3 linked regions of the Xenopus tropicalis genome follow. The protein of the gene in region 1 interacts with the protein of each later gene in a pairwise test. Links are inferred from orthologs where the notes say so. Each region holds a gene or a part of one and is shown in the gene's direction. Other genes may lie near its edges.

Region 1 (3,830 bases):
CACATGCATTTACAGCCAAAGCCAGGACCTGCTAACAGTACAAATCAAAGGGGAACTAAACTGGTTCAGCAATGTCCAACCTGTTGTTTAACTAGAACCCAGCTGCCTGATAGTGGGGTTGGGAGCTGCAGTGTAACAACAGCCCGAGAAGGATGGACATCTTTGATATAGATACTGAAAACAATTGTTCTGGTAATGTTGCCCACAATAGATCTCTGCTAACACGGGCGACTAATCTCTTCAAAATGCCTTTTTCACCATCATCAAAGGGAATCGGTAGTAGAAAGGCCTTTCCCTTTAGTTGCCTGCAGGGGGAAACTTCACCATTGATCAGCACATACCTCTTTTACCACTGAACCCCTAGTTTAGGCCCTTTTGTTATTCCAGCACTCCAAATCCACCCCCCCCCCCCATTGCCTGGGTGAATTCCAGAAAAAGTTGAGGGCCCCTGGGCAAGCCACCCAGTATGGAGGCATCAATACACAGACAAGCAAGTTTGCCCCCCCCCGTTATCTCTTTCAAGTGCATGGCCCCAATTCACCACCCCCTTAGGAGAGCTCTGCCCTTGTAGGTATTCCGCTGATGGCAAATAAAGAATTGCATTCACTGCAGGTCTCTCCAGCAGTGCATGGGTTAATCAGCAAGGCAGCTGCTGTGTCTGGTTCCAACTAATCCTGGCTCTGCAAGCCTATAGCAATACACACAGAACTGAGCAGCTGCCCCTTTAAATGCCATTTCCTTCTATTGTATTTGAATGGTGATCAGGAAAAAGGAAATGAAAGCAGAGTCAGAGGGGCTGAGCTTAAAGGCTGCAAGAGGGACACCAATCGGCTATATAAGTGACAGTGACACAGGGCTCCCTCCCAGACCTGCCTGCAGCAGGAGAGCAGCTCACAGATACAGCTGGCTGGGGAATACACAGGGGGAGCAACAGGGATGGAGAAGAGACAGCAGGGGGCTCTCGCATGTTCCTTAGGGAGCTGGACAGCAGCCTGTGAGTGTTGGGGCCACAGGGACCTGCGCTGGTGACGGGCATATGCAAAGGAGAGGTCCAGTGGAGCTAATCCATTTGGCAGAAGAGTCAGGGGACAATAGGAGGAGGCGCGCCAGATTCTGCAAATGTCATCAGCTATAGAGAGAAAGAGCCTGGACCCAACAGAGTAAGCATGCTTGGGATAATGCTTGGGGGATGTTGGGGGAAGAAGAAGGGGGCCCTGGCAATGCAGAAAAGCCGGGACCCTCAAAAAACAATAAATAAGGGATTTGCAGCCTGCAGCCCTTCATGCATTGTACCAACTCCTACTATCACCAGCCTTTTGGGGGTTGCTAGGAGTTGCAGCGCCACAATGCATGTAGGATTGCCAGTTGCACATCCAAAGGGAAGCTAAAGGGTTAATGTCCCCTGAAACCACGCGTGGCTTGGGGACGAAGGATGCTTCGTTCAATCCTTAGTGACTGGCAATTTTACCCATTTTCATGGTGCTTTGGCTACTGGGAAGAACTGGTTCATATTCATGTTCAGTGAAGTCAGCGGCAGATATTTGGTTTTACTGTGCAGCATGGCATATTTATCTATAATGTATGAAAATAAGTCATGCTTTCAGTGCAGGCTATTGTGTGTATATATATATATATATATGTATATATATATATATGTGCTGCAGGAAAACACAGCAGCATGGCAGCTCCATTCCCTATTACTAATATATGTCAATCAGTAATTTATGCTGTACAGGAAAATAAAATTGAGTCATAACTATAGGGCAAAATTCAGGGCCCTGGGCAGCTGTAACTGAACTATACCTATCACCCTGGGCAGCTGTAATTAGTACATTCAAGTCCTACGTCTATTTGTATAACACGCGCTGGGAAGAATCCGAAGCACAGAGCACAGAGCGGTGCAGGGTATAGTGCAGTATAAGGGTGAAGACAGAGGCAATTCTCAGTATTGTCTATGGCAGGGTGTTTTCTGGAGTTTAGTAGCCATGAAAAAGTAGCTGCTACCAGTAGCTCCATGTGTCTTCACCCTTTGTCAGGGCTGAGTGGCAATTAGCAAATGCAGAAGACTGATTAACATAAGTCGCTTTCCTATTCTCTATCTTGGTGGCAGAGGAAGTGCTTCATCTTTATCTGCGCTTGTATTGCACTATCAGTTCTAAAAGATGAAAATAGTGACCATGGAGCCCTGCATGGGCTGTTTCTCCGGACATACATAGAGCTAAAGGGGGGGCCTGAGAAATTCTTTTCAGATCTAAATGCTTGCGGAGCCATTAATGTGCCCATGGCTAATAAAAAGGAAGAAAGAAAAAGTGTCTCTAGGAGCCTATATTCAGAACTAAGTGCTTGTTGCTCTCTTTTGCCTCTAGTGAACCAGTGGATGAGGTCCTGCAGATCCCCCCCTCACTGCTGACATGTGGGGGCTGCCAGCAGAGCATCGGGGACCGCTATTTCCTAAAGGCCATTGATCAGTACTGGCACGAAGACTGCCTGAGCTGTGACCTGTGTGGGTGCCGGCTGGGCGAGGTCGGGAGGAGACTTTACTACAAGCTGGGGCGCAAACTGTGCCGAAGGGACTACCTCAGGTATTTCCAACCAGATTGATTCTCTTCTGTTAGGACAGAGCCCATGGGGCATTTTATCCACTGCTGCCAGATAAAACAGAAGTACTTTTGATGTAGCAGGCCAATATAACATATAACATATGGTATAACACATGTTCAGGCTGTATCAGACTGGGTATCTAGTGCCCAATGGGACCGCCACTACCTGTTCATGCATGCTACTCAAAAAGGGCCCAGACTGGCAATCTCTGGATCTGGCCAGAGGGGCTGCTGTAAGAGCCATAAACAGTCACTATTTATTGGGCTGGTGGGGGGCTGTTTGGGTCTCTGTGTCCTAGAAGTGTCAGGGCCTATTTCAAATCTCAGTCCAGGCCTGACTCCTTTGTAGCCTCACAGAGCAATGGTGTTTGGCTGCTAGGGTCAGTGACCCTCCATTTGAAAGCTGGCATATAACATATAACTTTTTGTGGTTTTTCAGTTATTAAGCTTTTTAATTGGCAGCTCTCCGGTTTGGTATTTTAGCAGCTATCTGGTTGAGTAGGTCTTATTTACCCTAGCAACCAGGCAATGATATTCATGAAGAACTTGAATATGAAAAGGTGAAGGACTGAATAAGTGAAAGATAAGTAATAAAAAATAACCATAACAATAAAAATGTTGCGCGGTTCTGTTTTTTATAGGCTGTTCGGCCAGGACGGACTGTGCGCCTCTTGCGACAAGCGGATCCGAGCCTTCGAAATGACGATGCGGGTGAAGGACAAAGTATACCACCTGGAGTGCTTCAAGTGTGCAGCCTGCCAAAAGCACTTCTGCGTGGGGGACCGCTACCTGCTCATTAACTCGGACATTGTGTGCGAGCAGGACATCTATGAATGGACCAAGCTGAATGAGATGATGTAGCACTGGCAGAGCTTCGGGGGCCCATCCAACATGGACGCCAGCCACACGTTCACTAACCGCACTGGAACTGACAATACACGAACGACTGACAAACCAGTATCTTTCCACTGGAACAACATTGTCTTATTCACTGAATTAACACTCACATGTACATCCAGAAGGCCATTCTGGTGATCCTACTGTCATTATTGGTGCTCTTGTCCTTCCTGAAGCAGCATGTGGATAATTGTGACATAACAAACAGTGGTGAAACTCTAAAAGCATATATATATATATGTAGGGATCCTTTAAGTGAAGAATGTAACTACAGTGGTTTCAGCGGGCTCTGCATTAGAATGGGACACCTCAGTGGTACAGGCATGGTCTGAT
Region 2 (3,830 bases), on another chromosome or scaffold:
CTGAAATAGCGTCTAGCAGGGAGGAGTGGCTTCCTCTTTGGCTGCCTGTCTGCTACCTAAGCACAGCTCCTTCTGAGCCTGGGTGCTGCAACAGGCCCCAGTAAGCCACCTTAGTCCAAAGAACACCTTACTAATTGTATAAGTCAGGGACAGGGCCCTGTGAATGAGGATAAGTAAGCACAGCAGATTTATTTAATAGCACTCTCTAGTAGAAGTGAGCATAGTCAGCTCTAGCTAGAAAGGGCCATTAGCCTACCAAAGGAATGATTAGATCCAGGAGTATTTCTCCTATCCGGCAATGTTGTCTCAGTGCAGGGCTCTAGGAGGACTCAATCCACTAGAGGTTATCAACCTGAAGGAGTTCCTACTACTTGCACTATCTCTCAAGGGGTACTGGTTGAAAGGTGTATATCCCGGCCCAGACTCTACCAAGAGGTGGGGTAAACCGGTGTACACTCTCTCTTCTACAAAAGAGAAATCCCTCATTGTACCATTTCAATCTGCATGTCTGTGAGTATGATAACCCTGCATAACATCTGTGTCTTTGACCAATAAATCTGTATTATAGTTCACCAGCAAGAACCTTTCTGCGTCCATTTATACCATCTACACTACACAGCATCAGAAAGTTGTAGTTCAACTACACCCTCAGCTCCTATCTTACATCTCCCACATAGCAGAGGCCCATGCCGAAGAATTAAGGGTCACATGTAACACATGCTCTATATTACACTACAAGCCTGGGTTGGCCTAATCTAAGACAAAATAGTGTTACATATAATACATATAAGAAGAAAAGTTCTGAAAAAGTAAACTGTAAAAAGTAGCCTGTTTGCTACAGCAAGATTAAATGTGCACAAATTAATCGTTTCGGTGCCCTTTAAGAAGTGTCCGCATCAAAGCAGAGGGAGGCAATCCAACTTAAAGTAACAGCCAGCAAACAATTTTATGATTTGCTGAAGTCAAGATTTAGAGGCGGGGATAGCTTGCAGTCTAGGAAGTAAGGGCTGTACCCTCATTTCTTCTTTCGGTTTTGTGTGTGTGAGTTGGTGATTCTAGAGGTATCCGGAATCAAAGTAAATTTCAAGACGTTTTATTTTGCTTTCTTGAGCTTATTATACAGGACGGCGTCAGGTACGTTGAAAGAGAGACATTTTACTCCACTGTACGGCGCCCATTTTAGGACATCATCGGTATAAACGCTTCTGCTAATGATTCTGTTTTTATAACTGTGCCTGTCTGGGCAACCCCATTGCTCTTTTGGTCTATTATATACTCATCACTATACTGCAGCATATATTATATAATTTTCGTAATTGTGTGCATCATTCTGCCTCTGCTAACATTTGCCCAGTTTTGATTAATAAGCCGACTGGATCATTCTGTATTTGGTCTACTTGGTTATAAACTCCAGTGTGCACAGCCCATGTTTAATCTGCTTTATGCTGAGTAATCCTGCCCATTTGTGAATCCTTGTGTACAGCTGGTGTATCACTTACCACAGTGACTTTTGTTTTTTGGAAACCCCTATTTTAATTTACATTGGTTTGTGAGCACTCTAAAGGCTGTCATGTACTGTTAAGTTGAGCTGCAAATCTGCACTGCTATTGTTTAATATTTGCCACTACTTAGCCAAGCAAATTTTATTTGCACAATTCATCTAAAAAAAAAAATCTACACAACATGTCTGTGGGTTTAATTAACTTGAATGTATTCCAATACCACTGGGTGACAAATTTATCCTGTATTTTTCAGTCTCAACTCTGATCTCTGAGTTTTTTGACAGACATTTCTATTTGAATATAAGACAGAATAACCCTTTTTCCCAGTGCAAACTTTAGAACACCCTAGAAATAACAAGCGCTCTAATGGCCTATTGCCTTAGGGTTGTCTTTGATTTTACCCTCTCCTTCAGTTGTCATATCCAATTAATAACTAAATCATGTCATGTTCACTTACAGAATAAAATATCGCTATCAAAAATGATGCCAGCATGACCATTCCTGCCATAAGACGGGAGTGTGCAACAGTTTACCAGGGGTGGCAAAAGAAGGCCCCTAACAATTAATTTTTAAATTCAGCTCTTCTAGTGCAAATAGACCGTTCCACTCCCTGTATTAGAGATACTGCTCCTCATAAATTAAGAATATATATTATTTTACAATTTAAAGTTTATAGCTGTTCATTTATTACCTACGAATATTCTATTTACTGGCAATGATTGCCCTATTTTATGATTTCATTTGACACGTGTAAGAACCAAACCTATTGTAATTTATGCATCTGTTCTTAGCTTGTTGTATAAACTGTTATTGGTGTATGTGAAGCAGTTGCACTGTAAAAATACATTGAATAGTCGGGTTTCCCCAGAGAACACGGTTTCCAGAAGGGCTGTCTGGGCCAAAACTCTCTGCCCGGTTTTCCTAATTTGGTAAACTGGGCAGGACTTTCCTAGATTAACATGGACCTGTATGTGCTGAAAAACGAACCCTCGGCTTATACTCGAGTATAAGGATTCGAGGCTGAACAAGTTTGTTTTACGGGGCACCCCTCTTCCCTCCCCGCGGCTGGACAGAGGGCTGGACGGGCGTGCGTGCACGAACCAACGCACGCATGCATGTGCACACAACAATATTTTGGGCATGTACAAATGCGTACGCAGAAAGGGTGTTGGGTGATAAGGAGAGAAACAAAGGAAGGGGGCACAGATAAGAAGGCAATCTGGGAACTACAAATCCCAGATTTATTAAATTATACATTACCCTATATCACTACCACCTGCTCTATGGCTGCTAGCTAAGTAAAGTCAAAAGGATAAATCACCATTGTGGTCATTTGGAGCATGTTGGGAATTGTAGTTCTTTGTACAATAATATTACAATGAGTGCATCACTATATACAGATTCTGTACATGAGCCGTTTATTTATCTGGATGTCAGCTGACCCCCTCGGATCACTGTTGTGCCCTACAGAGAGTGTTCTGAATGTTCTGGTTGGGCCTTGGCCGGTACGCATTGCACTATGGGAGTGCATGGGAATTATGGGAAACAACCTTGTGCAGATATGGAAAGCTCAGTCAGTGGGTCCCTAGGCAGGTATTGTATACTTACAGGCCTGGACTGGCAATCTCTGGGTTCTGGCAAATGCCAGAGGGGCTGATGTAAGATGCCACAGACAGTCACTATTTATTGGGCTGGGGGGCTTTTTGGGCCCCTGTGTACTTGAAATGCCAGGGCCTATTTCGAATCCCAGTCCAGGCCTGCCTACCTACCTGCTACTGGTGGCCTATACTAGCTTGTTTGCCGGTGGCTACTGACAATAAAATATAAGGAAGAGACACGACTTTTCCCTTTGCTAATGGAGTTCTTGAAGCTGGAAACGGAACCTTTATATTATACGCCATGGCGCAGGCTTCTAGGGGGCAGAACAAGATGGTGGAATGTATTGTTGACTTTTTAGCGGTAAATATCCAGGGTGCCTACCCCAGAGTTACTAGGGTTGGTTCACCAATGAGTGTCCAGGGTGTCCAGGGCCTACCTAGGCTTATACTCGAGTCAATAAGTTTTTCCAGTTTTCTTAGGTAAAATTAGGTAATTAAAATGGAGGGTATGGGAGACGGGCTTTCTGTAATTCGGAGCTTTCTGGATAACTGGTTTCCGGATAAGGGATTCCATACCTGTAATTGGATAGAGAACTGACTGAAGGATAGATTGCAGAGAGTGCTGTTAAATTGAACATTTTCCAATTGGACCAGTGTTGTTAGTGGAGTACCGCAGGGGTCTGTCTTTGGTCTTTGCTTTTTAACTTGTTTAATAATAACCTGGAGGTGT
Region 3 (3,600 bases), on another chromosome or scaffold:
AATAAGTCTGAGGTGCAGAGAGGAATTTAGTACTGTATTGTTTGCTGTCCTATTACTTTAAACTTTTCTTGATTAAGTTGAGATTTTTACTGTGGCCCAAAATCACATTTACAGTGAGACAGTTGTTTTAGTTAAATAATTTGGTTCATTTAAGGCTGATGGCCCAAAGAGCAAGTTAGTTGTCCGCTGTAGATCTCTGCTACTGCGGGCAACTAATCACTCTGAAATGCCTTTCCAGTGGCAACAATCGGAGTCGATGGAAAGGCCTATGCATTGCTTCGGCTTTCCAAAGTTGCCTGCAGGAGGAAACTTTGTGCGAATTGGGAAAGCCAAAGCGATGCGTAGGCCTTTCCACCAGCGACTCCTATAGTTGCCAGTGGAAAGGCATTTTGGAGCACTTAGTCGTCCGCGGTAGCGAGATCTATCGCGGGCGACTAACTTGCTCCATGGGACATTAGCCTTAGATGTCATTCTGCAAGGCTCCATGTTTTTGTCAGCATTTTGCATTGTTACACCAGTGTGCCATTGGGAAACCGTGTTCATCTAAACATAAACTGATCAGATGCAAATGCTCAGTGCATTGGTGTGAAGGTTGAACAACATGGTGCTGTAGGCCCTTAGTAAACGAGGCCATCAGTGTCTTATCTTTTGCACCCCATAATTACCAAGAACTGAACATCATGTGTGAGTGTCTGGAAGCAAAATCTGTGCAGCCAGGAGTTTGTAGCAGGCCAGAAATGTTGAGGGCCCAGTGGGGCCATAATTACTAAACAATTTCTCCAGAAATTTTGGGTGCCCCTTTAATGAATATGTTGAGGGCTTAGTAACATCTACTTTCACCACTGGTAAAAATTGAATTACTTCAGTTCAGATGATTGTTGTAAAAGCCTTAGATATATACAGAGACAAAAAATATTCTTAAGGGAGATTAAAATAAGGCAGCCTCTAAAAATTAGCGAAATGATGCTCCCACTGAGGTCTGTATAGCAGGGTTCATTGAATGTAACTGATAAGCTTTCATTTTTTCAGGAATTTTAAAATCAGCTAAAAGGACAAGGGATCCTTACATGGGAAATTGAATCATTGAAACTGTGACCTGTAGAGGGAGCCATATATCTGCTTAAGCACAGACGCCATTAAACAAAAGGCTCCTGAGTGGGTAGAGAGCTAGGAGATCGTGTAGTGAAGCAGGGCAGGCCGTAGCCTCAGGGGTGGGGGAGCATTACCGGGTTAGAGATCAAGAAGGGACGAGGCCAAGGGGACAGTAGAGGTCCTGGTTGACAGCACACAGAGCGGCCAGAAGATCATCTGGGGTTTGCGGATCACATATCTGGGCCCAAAGCAGTAGTGCCGGCTGAGAAGCAGAGCGAAGCCTTCCCAAAGTGCACTGAGCCCTTGGATAAAGCGCACAGGAAGCCGGGCCTTGGATACTGAGCCTGTGCGTAGCGCCGTACATACCGGGGCCGGGTGGGATATGATGTTTCCTCAAAGCAGCAGCCGGCACTCGGTGAGAAGGCGAGGGGTAGAACTGAATGTACTACTGTATTATTGTGTGTTATATTTGTATAGAACATGTTCATCTGCTGGAGACGCTAAAAGCAATATGGGGGTAGGATTTTTTTGTTGCAGGAAGTCCTGCCGTTGCAGGAGCCGAAAGGGCTTAGTGTTGTAGTAGAGTTTCAGAATTCTGTTGAATCCATCTTTGCCGTCTAGAGCACTGGTAGCATTGTTATATTTTCGAGGTGATATCCAGTATTACACACTGCTGTGCAATGTGCTGCCTCTTTATAAATACATGTTAAGGACAAGAAATTACTGGAAGGGGCAATGGTAGGCATCCCCTCCCCAATAATTATAATTACTAGCCTCAATCCCCCCCATTGGAGTTGCCTTTGTGCTTAAAATTGCACTGCCCTGGGGCACTATTGTAGGGAGTGCTGCCAGCTTGCTTTCTGTCCATGCAATTCTTACTTCTGCCCTGGGTAATGAGCACATGCTATAGAGCAAAATCAGGACTGAAGCTGCAAGCCAAATATTTTGCTGTATTGCACATGACCCAGAGCAGCAGCAAGGAAGCAAGATGGTGGTGCACCCTAAAATAGTATCCTGGCCACTGTGTTTTTTTTAGTGAAGAGCAGTATTAGCCTGGGGTCCAAGGTAATCACCAGAGGTGCCTGACAAATGTGGCCCTCACCATATTGGCAGTGCATAATTGAGATATTCATGTATCATGTACTGTACCACAGAAAAGTGAGCCTCCAATTGTCAAAATAATGACCAAGCAGTGTTCTAGTTGCTGCCTTCTCCCTTGGAAATGGGATACATATACTTAACAGAAATAGCTAATTATTAGTAATAACTATGCTTGCTGCAGCCATGTATTATGTGCTTAAAGCCTTCCATACACTGAAAGATCCACTCATTTGGTGAAGTCGGCAAACAAGTGAATTATCTTGTGATTTGGCCACCAAGGTTTGTTTGGCTTTATGGCCGCTGATCAGATCATTATAGGGGCCTATACTTGGTTGATTAGGAACTGAGCGTATAAACAACCAAGTGGCCCTTATTTTATGATATTTTCAAACCTGCCCAGCAGATATCTAACTGATATGGCAGCTAATGTTTCCAAAGGTATTTTTAGCTTAACATAATAATACATATTGCATAAGCCATTTAGGTGTAAAGGGGTGAGGTGGCAAACAAAGACAAAAGTTGTTGTAGAACTCTTCTTTTACCCTATTCTACCTCCTGACTCATGGGAACACAATCAAAACAAATTACTAGTCCACTGAGAAGCCCTTTGTATAAATAAACCCCTCCCTGCCCCTTGATGCAACCTGTTAGACTCTGAAATGAGTAGCTCATTATACAGAGGTTTCTCAATGGACTGGTGATCATTAAAGGGGTATACTATGCCTTTAATTTAACCACTAATTAGCCAAGTGTCCTGTGGATTCCATTAAGGCTGCAAATGTTTTCACATGGAATTTCTATTATGATTTTTTTTTCCTTAGGGCTCTTCGCATTTGCCCCAGCAACTCAAATTCACAACCTCAGATTCATGTGATAGAATTAAGGATGAATTTCAACTGCTGCAGGCACAGTATCACAGGTAGGAAATTGCTTCATTTTGACACTGAGGGCCACGCCAATGCACCTTTTGTCTGATGAGGTTTTCAAGCCTGCCGATTGTTATCTAGAATTTACACATGCCAATAAGCTGCCGACTAGGTCGGGAGGAACCAAGTCATCAGCTTTAATCAGCCCCTGTACGGCCACCTTAAGGCTAATGGTGCAGTTAGTCGCCCACTATAGATCTTTGCTACCACAGGCAACTAGCTGTTCCGAAATGCCTTTCCACCTGCAACAATAGGAGTTAGGAGTCGCCAGTGGAAAGTTATACGCATCGCTTTGGCTTGCCAGTGGAAAGGCATTTTGGCACAGTAGTCAGCCATGGTAGCAGAAATCTATTGCAGGTGACTGACTGGCTCCATGCGACATTAGCCAAACACTACATTTTATGTTTTTTATGGCATAGTATTGTTAGGACACATACATGATGACCTGTAGCTAACTTGTTTGACATAAATTTAATATAAC

What was found.
Region 2: the proteins of lmo2 (region 1) and stat1 interact in a two-hybrid assay, tested with the Homo sapiens proteins (2 studies listed by BioGRID and IntAct). The two-hybrid records come from large-scale screens. The link is inferred for Xenopus tropicalis from reciprocal best matches to the Homo sapiens genes LMO2 and STAT1.
Region 3: the proteins of lmo2 (region 1) and tle5 interact in binary tests that used the Homo sapiens proteins (3 or more experiments, as listed by UniProt). The two-hybrid records come from large-scale screens. The link is inferred for Xenopus tropicalis from reciprocal best matches to the Homo sapiens genes LMO2 and TLE5.

The regions. Positions count from the first base shown.
Region 1 is NC_030680.2:15,306,703-15,310,532, reverse strand, and holds the start of lmo2 (rhombotin-2), read left to right. Parts: upstream 1-874; 5' UTR 875-1,119; coding exon 1,120-1,160; intron 1,161-2,366; coding exon 2,367-2,582; intron 2,583-3,241; coding exon 3,242-3,461; 3' UTR 3,462-3,830. UniProt on the Homo sapiens protein: Acts with TAL1/SCL to regulate red blood cell development. Also acts with LDB1 to maintain erythroid precursors in an immature state.
Region 2 is NC_030685.2:43,531,966-43,535,795, reverse strand, and holds the start of stat1 (signal transducer and activator of transcription 1-alpha/beta), read left to right. Parts: upstream 1-990; 5' UTR 991-1,134; intron 1,135-3,830. UniProt on the Homo sapiens protein: Signal transducer and transcription activator that mediates cellular responses to interferons (IFNs), cytokine KITLG/SCF and other cytokines and other growth factors.
Region 3 is NC_030677.2:114,623,015-114,626,614, reverse strand, and holds the start of tle5 (amino-terminal enhancer of split), read left to right. Parts: upstream 1-1,204; 5' UTR 1,205-1,474; coding exon 1,475-1,507; intron 1,508-3,014; coding exon 3,015-3,112; intron 3,113-3,600. UniProt on the Homo sapiens protein: Transcriptional corepressor. Acts as a dominant repressor towards other family members. Inhibits NF-kappa-B-regulated gene expression. May be required for the initiation and maintenance of the differentiated state.